Oryctolagus cuniculus: one gene and its partner. The main gene of each other region encodes a partner of the protein of the gene in region 2 in a complex. Links are inferred from orthologs where the notes say so. Each region holds a gene or a part of one and is shown on either strand. Other genes may lie near its edges.

Region 1 (7,250 bases), on a different chromosome or scaffold from region 2:
TCTCTCTGTGTGTAACTCTGACTTTAAAGATAAACAACAAATAAATCTTAAAGCAAAAATGCACACACAGGGAAATGCAAGTCGAGGAGAGAAGCCTCAGAAGAAACCGATCCTGCTGAGACCTGGATCTCAGATTGTGGGAAAGTAAGTTTCTGTCGTGTAAGCCATCCAGACTGGGAGACTTCTTCATGGTGACCTCCACAGAGTTGAGTCCATTCAAGTCAGAGAAGGCACAGGCTGTGGGGACTGGGTGCTAAATTATGTTGCCCAGAAAACAGGGCCACCAGGGACTCATGGTTACTGTTCTTCCAGGCTGGTAGGGATGGAGCTTCTAATAGTCTTGCAAATTTGATTCTCAGTGGCTCAAAGAGAGGGCTGCGCAGATTTACACGTGGAAAGCCTTTACTTCAGAACTGGGCAGTTAGAAGCAAGCAGGGGCTGGCTCACCACTTCAATTTCAAAAAATAAGCATACTGCATCAGTCAAGACTGAGCTGACAACCAATTAAGATGATGGTTTCTGCTTGAACATGCCTCCATATTAGATTAAGCAAAATACAGAGGGCTGGCGTTGTGGCACAGTAGGCTAAGCCTCCGCCTGCGGTGCCAGCATCCCATATGGGAGCCAGTTCGAGTCCCGGCAGCTCCTCTTCCAATCCAGCTCTGCTATGGTCCAAGTGCTTGGGCCCCTGCACCTGCGTGGGAGACCTGAAGAAGCTCCTAGCCTCAGATCTGCTCAACTCCAGCCTTTGCAGCCATCTGGGGAGTAAGCCAGCAGATGGAAGCCCTCTCTCTGTCTCTCCCTCTGTGTGTAATTCTACCTCTCAAATCTCAAATAAAATCCTTTTTTTTAAAGAAAAATATAGGGAGACACACATTCTCTCTCTCTCTCTCTCTCTCTCTCTCTCTCTCGTGTGTGTGTACTTTGAATGTCCACTCTACATTCTGAGCACTTCTTTTTGCCTCCACAGGCTGTAAGCATGGTTCAACCTTTGCCACTCTCCCCAGGTAACTGCATTTTCTTCCTCATTGCTGTCTGTCTCGGTATTGCCCCATAATGAGCCACAAGGGCAGCTCATTCTAGACATGAATGGGCACACTGCCATGATGTTCTCATTTGTATGAGGAAAGGAATCACCTAGAAATCCTCTGAACGGCCTGCGCTAGTCTCCCAAGCCCCATCAGGACGCACAGATTCCTCTTTGCAATTACTCTCTCACCTACCCCTTTGTTTTACATTTCCACACATGCCAGCTCAGCCATTTTTCAGCTCCTGCCCAGACTAACGCAGTCGTGCCCCTGAGTGACTGCCTGCAGACCTCTTGGCTCTCTCCTCTCCACCTGCACCCATCCTGCACCATACTTTCATAAAACAGCCTTATAAAACTTTTACCAAATCCTGTCTTTCAGCTCGATCAGCCGGGTCTTTACACCCCACCTCTTCCTCAAGAAGGTTCGTCTTTGCCTTCCGAATTGGGTCTAAGCACATTTACACAGCATGCAAGAAAAGGACCCGATGTCCTGCCTGGCTGTAGGAAGCGCTAATTCTTCACCTTGGCACCTCAAGCTGCAGCTGTAATCGGGGCCCTAATGCCCAGCTAGGCCCTTAAACGGAAGACCTGCTGAGCCGAGACCCACTTTCCCAGCCCGGCTCCAGGGCTCCGCTCTTCTGCCAACTGACCAGGCGGAAGCAGCAGCAGGGGAGGAGGGACCGCAGGTAGGAGGGGAGGGGATCGTTTTGAAAGCCCTGAATCCCTTGCAGGGAAGAGGCAGCTGCTCCTTGTTTTTCTAAACATCTGTCCCATCTGCCCCCAGCCGCAGGAGCCTCGAGCAGGTTCAAGGTGGACTGGAGAGGCAGGCGCCCCGCGAAGGTTGCGTGGGAGCCGGGGCAGCTGAGCCTGCGTGGCCGCCGCCCCCGCCCCACTCCCGAAAATTCCTTCTGTGAAGAGCGGTAGGGGGAGTCTAGGGAGGACAGGCCGAATGCACGGAGTCGGTTTGAAACGATCCCCCGCCCCCAAAATGCTATGTCACAAAACCGAGGGACCCCTAGCTCTTATTATCGAGCGCCCCAGGCCGCGGATGTGGGGGAGAAACCGTGACAGCACGCTACCTCCGCATTTCACAGCGCTCCCCTGCAGGCACTGCCCCCCACCCCCACCCCCGGAGAAGGACCCTGTTTTTATTGTTATTTCCCCCTAGGACGCAGAACCCCGTCTGCAGCCTGGCTGGCGTGCAGTTTATGAATGAATGAAAAAACGAGATGATTCAGCCGGTTCGCAGATACAGCGTGGGAGGCTCGGGCTTAGAAAGCGGTGGCCAAAGGGAGCGCTGTCAGCAAACCCCCTAAACCCAGCTCCAGCCCACGCGGCTATCCCCGGGTGCTCGCTCAGGCCAAACGGAGGCTGCGCGCGCCCCGAAGCGCCCGCCCCCACGGCGCACGCGCAGCCACGCCCCCTCCCCGGGTCGCTCCCGCGGGGAGTCGGCTTCCACCCTAGTTACCGGGTTGTGGGCGGGGCCAAGGCGGCGCAGGCGTAACGGGCAGCGGAAGTAGGAAGTAGCGGACGCGATAAAAGGGCTCGTGGGGTCCTCGCTAAGGGCATTGCGCTCCTCCCCCGCTGCGTGTGTCGCCCCTCCTCTCTCCATCCTGGGGCTCCGGTCGCGGGACCCTCCGGGCGGCCGCACGTGTTGTCAGGCGCGGGCTCCTCCCCTCTCCGCCCCCTTCCCCGGAGCCTCGGCGCCGCGCGTTCCCTGCCCGCCGCGATGGCGCTCGACCCCGCAGGTACGGGGGTTGATGCGTGGTTTGCAGCGGGACGCCGGGCTGGTGCCGCGGGCGTCCGGGCTGGGCAAGGTCCGATCTGAGGTCGCGCCGCTTTCGCACACTGCCTTCACCGCCGGCTCCTGCCGTGGGGTTCGCAGCCGGCCCTGGTTGCTTCTCTCGGGCGAGGTTAGGGTTAGGTGAGGGGCTCTGGGTTTTGTTGTTGGAACTGTGGTCCGTTTGCGGCAAACAGACTTTTCCCTCCTCGGCTCAGACGGCTTTCTTCGTCGTCATTTTCGCTCCTTAGGGCCCAGACTAGACATTGGATGGTGTAGGCACCTTTGACCCAGCAACATTTCGTACTGGAGCCGGAGCTCGAGTTCACGTTGTCTTTGGGAATTCCCGGACCCCCGGCTCGTCCTCAGACACGGCGGTTCGAGGGTCCATTCCTGTGGCGAGTCGTCTCTCGGGGAAGGGGTCCCCAGGCTCTGAAATGTTCTGACTGTCGTGATTCCTCCTGCTTGCCTTTGCTGCAGAGTTCTGTTACTCTAAGGCGCCTCCTCGCAGAACCACACCTGCGTCTTGGGCGTTGAGGCAGTTTATGCAAGGGTGTAGATACAGAAGCCTCCTGGGGGGACGGTGATTGATCTGCCCACTCCTTTTTGTTGTTGTTGTTGTTGCTGTTAAAGATTTATTTTACTTATTTGAAATAATTACAGAGGGAGCTAGAGACAGAGGTCTCCCATCTGCTGGTTCACTCCCCCAGTGGCCGCAAACGCCAGAGCTGAGCCCATCAGGAGCCAGGAGCTTCTTCCCGGTCTCCCATGCGGGTGCAGGGGTCCAAGCACTCGGGCCGTCTTCCACTGCTTTCCTAGGAGCATTAGTAGGGAGCTGGATCAGAAGTTGAGCAGCCGGGACTGGAACCTGTGCCCTTATGAGATGCCAGCACTGCATGCTGGGCCTTTAACCTGAGCCCCGCCACCCCCCTTTCCCAATTCCTTTCATTTTATAAATACAAAGCCTCAAGGTGTTGGATGGTGATATGGCTCCAAACCATTTGGAGATTCCGAAGTGGAAAAGACACTTTTGGGACCCCCAGAGGACAAAATACACGCATAGTGTTCATTGAACCACTTTTTAAAATCAAGCTAAGTAGTCTCAATGACCTTTGATTTCTTTTACATATGAGGAAACGGAGGCACAGAGGTTAATGGTAGTGGTGGAGTTGGTAGAAGTGCAAAGGAATTCCACAGTGCATAATGATCAGACCAGTTTGTGGTTCAGCGATTGGGTCAGAATTCATGGAGCAATGAAACGGCGGATCTGGGCTTTGAAGAGTAGGATTTCCAGAGGTTGGAGTATCCTGTGTCAGGTATGTAGATACGCTGATGAAAAACCAACATAGGACTCATGAGTGACTATTTTTTCAATGGTTTATACTTGTTACTGCACATAATTTTTTTAAAAGATTTATTTATTTGAAAGTCAGACTTAACACAGAGAGAAGAGGCAGAGAGAGAGGTCTTCCATCTGATGATTCACTCTCCAGTTGGCCGCAAAGGCTGGAGCTGTGCAGATCTGAAGCCAGGAGCTTCTTCCAGATCTCCCATGCAGGTGCAGGGGCCCAAGCACTTGGGCCATCTTCTGCTGCTTTCCCAGGCCATAGCAGAGAGCTGGATTGGCAGTGGAGCAGCCGGGTCTCAAACTAGTGCCCATATGGGATGTGGGCGCTTCAGGCCAGGGCGTTAACCCACTACACCACAGCGCTGGCCCCGACCTAATTATTTTTGTTTTCAAACTATTTACAATTTGGCCAGCGAATTTCTTTATCTAGCTTCTGGAGCTTTGGGGGTAGTTTCCCATTTTGGGGAGCATTTTTTCTTTCTTCACATAGGATGTCACTGGCTTGCCACTTGGCCCGTTTTCTGAGACGTCCTGGTTCTTTTTATTTTGGTGTACTATTGCAGAACAATATCTGGTCACTCCGTGTGGGTTCCTCTTTTGTGTTTTACATTTGAGTGATTCATTAATGGAGTGCCCTTAGGGGGAAAAGCAAGGGAGTAAGGCGAACAGGAGAGTGAAGGGTTAGGATGTGGTTTCAGGGAAGGCTGTTGCATTAGTCAGCTTTTTGTTCACTACAACTACTTATCAAAGGTGAGCTACCTGTGAAGGAAGGCTTATTGTAGGGCCTCACAGTTTTGAAGGTTCACAGTCTAAAATAGGGCAAGTCCCTCTGGTTCAGCTAACTGGTGAGGCTGGGAGAGGGTTAGTGGAGTGCGAGGGGAGGAACAATCATGTGGTGATCCAGGGGGCAGAGGGAGACTGAGCCAAGCTCAGCTTTTATAAAGACCCTCCTGAGAGGGCTGTCTTTTGAGGCATGACCCGGATACCTCACATAGGTGACAGAATCCCAAGGACTTGAGCTGTGATACTTGTTGCCTTCCAGAGTGCAATTAGCAGGAAACTGGATTGGAAGTGGAGCTAGGATTCTAACCCAGGCACTCTAATGTGGAATGCAGGTGTCCAAAGATGTGGCTTAACAAGGTAGCTACCCAGGAGCCAAGTCTTACTCAAAATGTAGCAGCTGGTCTTAGCTAGTTAGTTCTGGTGCACCCACAAAGTACAAAGTCTGTCCTGTCTCATGGGCAACGGAGCTGAGCTTTATGCCCTCTGTCAGCCGCTGGTTACCTGTAGGAGCTGGAAGCAGGGGAAACTGTAAAAGATTACCATTGCCCAAGGGCAGTCCTGAGAAGGTTGCAGATGTGAGTGCTCCAGCATTCCCTGTCACAGGAAGATCAGCTTGATCCAAAAAACAAGTTGTCTGACTCTACTGGGAACCTTAGTTTGCACAGTGAGTTCAGGTAGTGTTGAGTCAGATAGGAAAGGGTCCTTGCACACATGTATGCACATACACAGGCGTGTGTCCCATCTCCGTTAAATTATTGAGAGGTTATGGTCAGAACATTTGAATAACATTGGTTTAAGATATACCTACAATAACCCTATCAGTGCGTTTTTTTTTTTAATACTAAGCACATGCTATTCCTTTTCTCTAAACTTTCCCTCTCTCCCTCATCCCCAAATCTAATGCTTGCTCATTTTTTACAATTCATTTTAAAGTCAGTTTCTTAGGAGACTTTCCCTAATTATAACCATCCTCAAGTCTTCAAAAAAATTTTAATATTTAAGATTTTAAAAACTCACCAAAATATCATACAATCTGTTTATATTGTTTCTTTTATTCTAGACCTAAGTTTTTTTCCTTGAAAAATACACAGTGGGTTAAGCCAGCACTTGGGATGCCTGCATCCCATATTGAAATGATGATTTTTGTCCTGGTTGCTCCACTTCCCATTCAGCTCTCTACCTGAGAAGCAGTGGATGATGGTTTAGATCCTTGGGTCCCTGCCACCCACAAGGGAGACCTGCATGGAATTCTTGGCTCCTGGCTTCAGCCTAGTACAGCCCCAGCTGTTGTGACCATTTGAGGGAGTGAACGGTCACATGGAAGATAAATCCCTCTGTCTTGTATCACTCTGCCTTTCAAATAAATATATCTTTAAGACATAAATAAAATGAAACCTATAGATGGTATGTGTCTCTTTAACAGTTTGAGATGAAAACTGTAATCTTGAGAAAGGCAGTGTCCTGCCTGTGTAGTATACAGTAAATATTTTTTTCAGCGGATTTCACCATCTCTTCAATTAGAGGCTAGATGACCAGAAAGGACAGGCCAGTTAATTTTCTCTTGGCGGTAGGGACTCACTTGCCTACCAGCAGGGAGGCTGCTGGGAATAAACACCAAATTTGGCTGTTAGTAGGACTCACTCACTGTTCCAGACTTTGCCAATAATCAATTTTAAATGCTGAAATTTGAGGCTGTGAGGTAGGGAGAGTGAGATATATCAGATAACTGCTAAGGTTACTTCAGACCTTCATTTACATGATTATAAACACAGAAAAGAATTACTTCAGATTGACTATAGTAGCATCATTATTTTTGCTTAGGGATGTTAATGTGTATTTGTAGAGATCTAAATTTACAGACGTCAAAAATATGAGAAATACTACCTTGTACTTGATATCAGGGCACAATTTTGTTTGGTCTACTTAAAAGAATGTTGATATTCAACTTTACATTCTTTCTCACAACCCCGTATTATTTTTGCATTTTAAAATAAGGAGGTTGAGGGGGAAATTAAGAACATGTTAACTATTGCACTTTGTGTTTTTGCTAAAGAATTATTAGAGAATTTTTTTAATAAAAGATTTTATTTGAGAGGTAGAGTTACAGCCCAGGGAGCCAGGGAGGGAGAGACAAGAGAAAGATCTTCCGTTCATTCTTTCCCCAGATGGCCTCAATGGCTGGAGCTGGGCTGATCTGAAGCCAGGAGCTTCTTCCTGGTCTCCCACGTGGGTGCAGGAGCCCAAGCACTTGGGCCATCCTCCACTGCTTTTCCGGGCCATAGCAGAGAGCTGGATCTGAAGAGAAGCAG
Region 2 (7,136 bases):
TTCCTTAGGGAGCCCAGCTGCCTCTGTAGCGCAAGCAGAGAGGGGGTTACCGCCGCTCCCCACGGCCAGCTCGCAGGCAGCTCGACTCCACAGGGAGACCCCCGCCCCAGCCGCCGTGGTCCCAAGGTGGACGCCAAGGGGCAGGCCTGGCCCAATGCCCGCTCCCACGGAGCAGCCGCGGCCGTGGCGCTGGGGACATCTCGGGGTCGGCTGGCCTCTGGAGAACCCGCAGAGCTCACCTTCCGGTGCTGCGGCGCCGGCTTCTGGGCCGCGCCCGGCTCCTCCCCGTCTCCCGGGCGCCCCGGCCTCGCGTCCTCTTCATCTGTCAGGACGCCATCGGCACCGTCCCCGCTCTCGGTCGCTCCCGGGGCCTTCCTGGTGAACAGCTCGGCTGCAAGCAGACGTCCGGCTGTGGTTCACCCAGTGCTGCGCGGGGAGCAGCCGCCAGGACGGGAGGGTCAGGGACACTCACGCGGGTACAGGTCTGTCATGCTGTCGTCACTCGCGGCGCCCTCCTCGTCCCCGGACGCGGGCTCCCAGAAGGCGTGCTGAGGGGCAGGCGGCCCGTCGCCGTGCAGCTGGTCCCTGCGCCGTCGCCGCTGCAGCAGGCAGGCGGGGACATACTCCTCGCCTCGCTCCTGGCACTCTGCATCTGGGAGACACGGCCGTGCACCGCTACCCTCCCGCCCCCCGCCTGCGTGCGTGCGCCAGGCTGGACGGCCGTGAGCAGGCGGGGCCCAGCGAGGCTCAGTGCCGGCCAGGCCGGGGGCTCACTGCAGCTGGCCGCAGGGTCCTTGCTGAGCCCACTGTCCCCGCCTTCTCTGAGAGCTGGGCTGTCGGCACTCACCCTGCCGTCACACGCCGCTCGCTCCCAGGATGGGGCCCACCACCTCCCACTGTCCCCATGGCCCCTGCCTCCTGGCCTCTGATGTGGCCGCCCACTCCCATCACTACAGGAACCCACACAGGTGTCTCCACCGTGCCCAGCCCCGAGGCCGCCCTCACGGAGCCTCGCTGCTTCCCGGCCAGCTCCGCAATCCATCACCAAAACCGCGGCCTCACAGGAGACATCCCCCGGCCCTGCCCACAGCCAGCTCTCCTGGCTCGGATCCCTGCCAGGCCAGGGGTCTGGCCCGCGCCAGCAGCCTCAGGCCCCTGTCCTCATCTTCCCGCCCCAAACCCGAGTCTGCGCCCACCCGGGGCAGGAGGGCACAGCCACACCCCCCGTAACTCCCAGCCCCGAGTGGGGGGGGGCCGCACCCCCTTCCTGCGGCTTCCACGCCGTGAAGCCTCGTGGCCACCGCGCTGTCCCCTCTGGGCCCTCCCAGGTGCCTCACCCAAGAGCCGCCCTTCCTCACCCACTTTAACACATTCAAGGCAAACCCCAATTCACCACTTCCTGTCTCCGGCAGGAAACCAGACATTCACACTTGGGGCCGAAGCCGCCGCCTGCAGTGCCCGCATCCCATGTGGGCGCCGGTTCGAGTCCCGGCTGCTCCACTCTCTGCTGTGGCCTGGGAAAGCAGTGGGGGACGGCCCAAGTCCCTGGGCCCCTGCGCCCGCGTGGGAGACCCGGAGGAGGCTCCTGGCCTGCCCAGCGCTGGCCATTGTGGCCATCTAGGGAGTGAACCAGCAGATGAAGACCTCTCTCCTGCTGCCCTGTAACCCCCACTCCCAGAACACGGCTCTAAGCGCGAGCTGACGCCGTGTGCAGCTCTCCCCCAGCCCCAGCCCCTCGTCCTGGGCGCCCCCACCCCATCCTCAGACCGTCAAGGCCCCCTCCTCCTCTGCCTGCCGGGTGCGCTGTCCCCTCCGGCCTCCCAGAGCCCCCGGGAGCCCTCCCGAAGCTCACGCCGACCGGGTCTGGGGTCGGGCCGTCCTCCCGCCCGGGCGCGGGGCGACTTACACCGGCGCAGGGCTCGCTGGAAGCGGCGGCCGCGGGTGTGCCTCAGCACGTGCTCGGGGCACCTGTTGAGGTGCCGCAGGGTGAGCTTGCAGAACAGCTGGCGCCTGCGGGGCGGGGCAGGGGGCGGTCAGCGCCGACCAGCAGCCCGGGCGCAGACCCGCCGACCCAGGCGGGCCAGCGGAAGCCGGGCCCGGGCCTTCGCCACCACCCGCTCCCCTCCGGCCCACTCACAGAAACAGCCGCGACCCCCACCCTGTGCCGCCCCGCGCTCAGGCAGGGCGCTCCCGTCCCGGCCCCGGGGCCACCCACGGGCTCTTGGTGCTGGGCACGATGTGAGGCTCGAACTCGGCGTAGTCGAAGGCGGGGGAGGCGCGCGCCAGCCGCTGGTACTTCCTGCCGCGGGTGTAGACCTGCAGCTCGGGCAGCCGGCAGGGCAGCTCGTGGCCGGTCAGCGCGCACTTCACCTGCGGCGGGACGGCCAGAGGTCGGCGCCCTGCGCCCCCGCCGCGCCCGCGCCCGTGCCCGCGCCCCGGCCCTCCCCGCCTCCCGGACCTTGCGGGCGCCGGGCAGCAGCCGCAGGCTCGGGTGCTCGCACAGGAACGCCCGCACCTCGGCCGGCAGCGCGTCCATCGCAGGCGCGCGCCGCGTGCGGGGGGCGGGCCGCGGGCCGACCCGGAAGCAGTTGCCCTCCGCCCCGGAAGCTCCCGCAGGCCGCCGGTGCGATGGCGGCGGCGAGTCGGCTGGGGCTGCGCGCGGTGGGCCTGGGGCCGCTGCTGCGCGCGGCGTGCGCGGGGCGGGTGAGCGCGGGGCGCCGGGGCCGGGCGGGGCGAGGGAGGGTGGGAGCGGCCCCGGGGCTCAGCCGCCGCCCCCCGTCCCCGCAGGCCCCCGCCACCGCCTACTGGAGGAGCGCCCCGGGGGTCCTGCCGTGCCCAGGTGAGGGGGACTCGGCGCGGCCCCGAGGGGGTGTCGTGGGAACCCGGCTGGACGGTGTCGCTGCTGGCCGAAGCGGGAAGCCGGCGCCGTGCGTTTGTGAGCTCAGCGGCTGCAATCGCCGCAGCGCGCACGGAGCCCGGCGACCCCAGGCCCGCCGTCGGGACCACCCACCACCCCCGCGCGTGCCCTCTGGGTACCACCGCCCCGGGTGCACACGGAGCCCGCGGCCCGGCCAAGCCACTTGGCGAGTGCGTGCGTGAAGGCCTGCATTTCTGGGTGCAAGGCTTGGGGCGGCTCCGGGAGCTACCCAGGGCCATGGCACCGGCCACCAAACGCGCCCCGGGTGTGTGCGTGGGCCGGGCGCGGGTGCTGCCTGCTGGACCCCCACAGGTTAGGGCTGTTGAGGTCTGCGCCCCGCTGTCCCTGGCAGCGTCGCTGGCCTGAGTTAGCGCCCCGGTTCTGTCTGACCCCGCGGCAGGGGCGGCCGGGAGGCCGAGCAGGTGCGGCAGCTCCGCGGCGGACGCGCCGGCCTCCAAAGCAGAGGACGACCGCCTCCTGCAGTGGCTGCTGCTGCTCATCCCCGTGACTGCCTTCGGCCTGGGGACGTGGCAGGTGAGGAGGGGTCCTTCGGCCTGGGGACGTGGCAGGTGAGGAGGGCCCGGCGGGACGGCTCCGGGCCGCACGACCGTGGTCTGGGGCTCAGGCCGGGTGTCCTCGGCAGGTCCGGCGCCGCCAGTGGAAGCTGAAACTGATCGAGGAGCTGGAGTCCAGAGTGATGGCCGAGCCCATCCCGCTGCCGGCCGAGTGAGTGTGGCCGCCCCCTGCTGGGCTGGTCGTGGACAGGACTGCCCGGCACCGGCTCCTCTCCGTGCGCAGTGATTGGGGGTGGGGGGGTGGGTCGTTGTCATTGGAGAGCGCGCCCGCGTGGTTACACATCAGCACGCAGCGTGCGTCCATCAGCTGTGCAGGACGCTGGCCTGGGCTGCAGACCCACACTCCCGGGCCGCCCGGGCTGCTCTGTGCCAGCCTGCACCCCCTGTCTCCGTGTAGTCCCATGGAACTGAGAGGCCTGGAGTACAGGCCAGTGAAGGTCAGGGGCCACTTTGACCACTCCAAGGAACTGTACATGATGCCGCGGACCATGGTGGACCCTGCCCGCGAGGCCCGGGAGGCCGGCCGGATCTCCTCCTCCACCGAGAGCGGGGCCTACGTGGTCACCCCTTTCCACTGCACGGACCTGGGGTGAGCAGTGGGCAGGTGCACACGGGATTCCCTGCCTCCTTCCCCGCCCCCGCCGTGCAGGTCGATGGCCCCCACCAGCTAAGCAACCCTGGTTTACACTGCCTGGAGCTCCCTGAAGGGGGAGGGTGCGTGGCAGCCCCAGCTGTGCCTGCAGGGGGGCAGGCGGAAGTGAAGGGGGCTCCGGCCACCCCAGGCCCTGGTGACGGCTGGGGACGCCTAGCTGGCCACCCAGTCTGTCTAGGCTGGACACCTTCACCCGGATCTTCCTCAAGGACCCTTCCCCGCCCACCTCTAGGGTCACCATCCTGGTGAACAGGGGATTCGTCCCCCGGAGGAGGCTGAACCCGGACACCCGGCAGAAAGGCCAAGTAAGCGGCCACAGCTCTGGCCCTGCCCTCCCCCGGTCTCCTCGGTCGTCCCGGCCCTGGCCTGCTGCCCACTCGGCTCTTGCTGCCCTGCAGGTGGAGGGCGAGGTCGACCTGGTGGGGATGGTGAGGCTGACGGAGACCAGGAAGCCCTTCGTCCCTGAGAACAACCCCGAGAGGAACCACTGGCACTACCGGGACCTGGAGGCCATGGCCAGGGCCGCGGGCTCGGAGCCCGTGTTCATTGACGCGGACTTCAGTAGGTTGAGGCCACCCAGCCCGGGTCTGCCCACGTGGGGGGGGGGTGCAGGGCAGCAGCGTGCCTGTTCCTGCAGAGAGCACCATCCCTGGGGGGCCCATCGGCGGGCAGACCCGAGTCACCCTGCGGAACGAGCACCTGCAGTACATCGTGACCTGGTGAGCGCCCCCTGCCCAGCCCCGCCCTGCCCCAGCCGCCAGAGGCCTGGCTGACCACTCGTGTCGCACTGCAGGTACGGGCTGTGTGCGGCCACCGCGTACCTGTGGGTGAAGAAGTTCCTGCACCGAGCGCCTGGCGTGTAGCAGCCCTGCCCCCACACCCCCCCCCCCCCGAATAAAGCCGCCGTGTGAACCAAGGCCCTGACCTGAGCCCTGCGTGTGTGTGTGTGTGTGTGTGTGTGCCCGCGCGTCACTGAGTCAGGGACACGGGCTGGGACAAACCAGCTTTATTATGTACAAGCAGCCCGCGGTCACCCCAGCTTCGTGGCCAGCTCCTTGGCCTTGGCCTTCTCCAGCTTGGCGATGCGAGCCACGGACTTGGGCCCCAGGACGTTGCCTCCCCAGTGGCGGCGGATCTGCAAGGACAGGGGCGGTCAGCCTGGCCGGCCGCGCGGCTGGACAGGGAGGGGCGGGCGCTGCGGCGCTCACCTCGTCGTATCTGTCGTTGTAGTTGGTCCTGATGGCCTCCACCAGCTTCGCCAGGGCCCCTTTGTCCTCCCTGACACACGGGGGGGGGGGGGGGGGGGACACGTGGTTGGTTTTCACTCGCGGGCACAGGGCGGCCTCTGCCTGGGCGCGGGCGCCTCAGACGTCACTGACCACACGGCTGGTTCAGGTGAAGAAATTCTCGACCATCACTGGCGGGGGCAGGGCTGGGGGGAGGGGGCCTGGGGGGACGCGGGCACTTACGAGTTCACCTGCGTGAAGGCCACGGTGGTGCAGGTCTTCCGGTGCACCAGCCGGCCGAGCCGGGCCTTGCCCTTCAGGATGCAGTAGGGGACCCCCATCTTGCGGCACAGGGCGGGCAGGAAGACCACCAGCTGCGAGGGGGAGGCGCGGCTGAGCGGGGCCCCCCCGCGGACCCCCGCCCCGGGCCGCCGGCCGCAGCTGCTCAGGGTTAAAAAGCTCGTGTGTGCGCTTCAGAGCTGCGCTCAGCGCGGACGTGTCGTCATCGCAGCCGCGCGGGGCCCTCCCCGCAGCCGCGCCCCTGCCCGCACCCACCTCGATGGGGTCCACGTCGTGCGCGATCACCACCAGCTGCGCCTTCTTGTTCTCCACCAGGGTCGTGACGGTGTTCACGCCTGGAGCCCGAGCACGCGCGGGCGTGAGCGCGCAGCGTGGGCCCGGCCCCGCTCTCCTGCCCCCTGTCCAGCTCCGGCCCCGCCCCCGCCCCGCAGCACCGGCGGCCGCTGGGTGGGCCCGGCCCCCCGCTCACCCGCCCGCAGCACCGGCGGCCGCTTGGTGGGCACGTCCCCCTTGCCGGCCGCCTTCTTCTCGGCGCGCGCCAGCAGCCGCTGCTTCTTCTCCTGCTTGGTCTCGGGCCGGTACTTGTGGGCCAGCTTCAGCAGCTGCGTGGCTGCGGGGACGCGGGGTTCAGCCTCGCCGCCCGCCGCCCCCCGCCCCGGCCCCGCGGGAGCGCCCCGCCCCGCCGCGCCCCCCGCCCCGCACCCGTCTGGCGGTCCAGCGCCTGCGTGAACTGGTTGATGGCGGGCGGCACCTTCAGCCGCTTGTACAGGATGGCCCGCTGCCGCTGCAGCCGGATGTAGCGCGGCCACTTGACGAAGCGCGTGAGGTCCCGCTTGGGCTGGATGTCCTGTCCTGGGGGGGCAGCGCCGTGAGCCCGGCCCGGCCCGGCCCGGCCCGCCCCCGCCCGCGCCCCGCGCCCGCCCCGGCCGGCCGGCGCATCAGCGATCTTGGTGGTGTGGACGTCGTCAGCGCGCTCGGATAGCAAATATTCCGTCACATCATCTGCGCCGGCCCCGGCCCGCCCGCCCGCCCGCCCGCGCGCCCGCCCGGCCCGCACGGCCCCGCGCACCGATGCCGAAGTTCTTGGGCCGCTTCTCGAACAGCGGGTTCACCACCTTCTTGGCCTCCTGCTTCTTGACCACGGCAGGGGCCGGGGCCACCTTCTTCCCCTTGGCCTTCTTCCCCTTCGGCTGCCGCGGGCGAGAGAGACCGAGGCCGTTACAGCCGCCCCCGCCTCGGCCCGTCCCCTCTGGGGTCCGCACTGCGGCGAAGCGCTCCCCGGTCCTCCTCCCCGACCCGGCAGCCGCAGGGCCGGCGCACCCCGCTCCGCGGCCCCCGTGCCGGACACGGCAGGCCTCCCCTAGCCCCCGGCGGCGCGGGGGAGCCGCCCGCACGCGCCCGGCAGAGGATGGCTGCGGATGGAGCCCGGACCCGGGTCGGGAGCCGCAGGACGCAGACTCACCATC

Evidence for each region.
Region 1: SURF1 (region 2) and CMC1 share a complex: the UniProt entries of both Homo sapiens proteins name them as parts of the MITRAC (mitochondrial translation regulation assembly intermediate of cytochrome c oxidase complex) complex. The link is inferred for Oryctolagus cuniculus from reciprocal best matches to the Homo sapiens genes SURF1 and CMC1.

Annotation. Positions count from the first base shown.
Region 1 is NC_091435.1:164,608,307-164,615,556, forward strand, and holds the start of CMC1 (COX assembly mitochondrial protein homolog), read left to right. Parts: upstream 1-2,499; 5' UTR 2,500-2,759; coding exon 2,760-2,778; intron 2,779-3,943; exon of another isoform or gene 3,944-4,126; intron 4,127-7,250. UniProt on the Homo sapiens protein: Component of the MITRAC (mitochondrial translation regulation assembly intermediate of cytochrome c oxidase complex) complex, that regulates cytochrome c oxidase assembly.
Region 2 is NC_091432.1:235,373,819-235,380,954, reverse strand, and holds SURF1 (surfeit locus protein 1), read left to right. Parts: upstream 1-2,615; 5' UTR 2,616-2,628; coding exon 2,629-2,703; intron 2,704-2,787; coding exon 2,788-2,839; intron 2,840-3,317; coding exon 3,318-3,451; exon of another isoform or gene 3,452-3,486; intron 3,487-3,560; coding exon 3,561-3,643; intron 3,644-3,889; coding exon 3,890-4,081; intron 4,082-4,376; coding exon 4,377-4,449; intron 4,450-4,542; coding exon 4,543-4,705; intron 4,706-4,781; coding exon 4,782-4,863; intron 4,864-4,937; coding exon 4,938-5,007; 3' UTR 5,008-5,061; downstream 5,062-7,136. Other genes in the region: SURF2 (surfeit locus protein 2), read right to left, coding at 1-23, 240-391, 473-652, 1,907-2,010, 2,216-2,370, 2,459-2,536; RPL7A (large ribosomal subunit protein eL8), read right to left, coding at 5,175-5,279, 5,353-5,422, 5,614-5,744, 5,926-6,005, 6,140-6,280, 6,373-6,522, 6,740-6,860, 7,133-7,135. UniProt on the Homo sapiens protein: Component of the MITRAC (mitochondrial translation regulation assembly intermediate of cytochrome c oxidase complex) complex, that regulates cytochrome c oxidase assembly.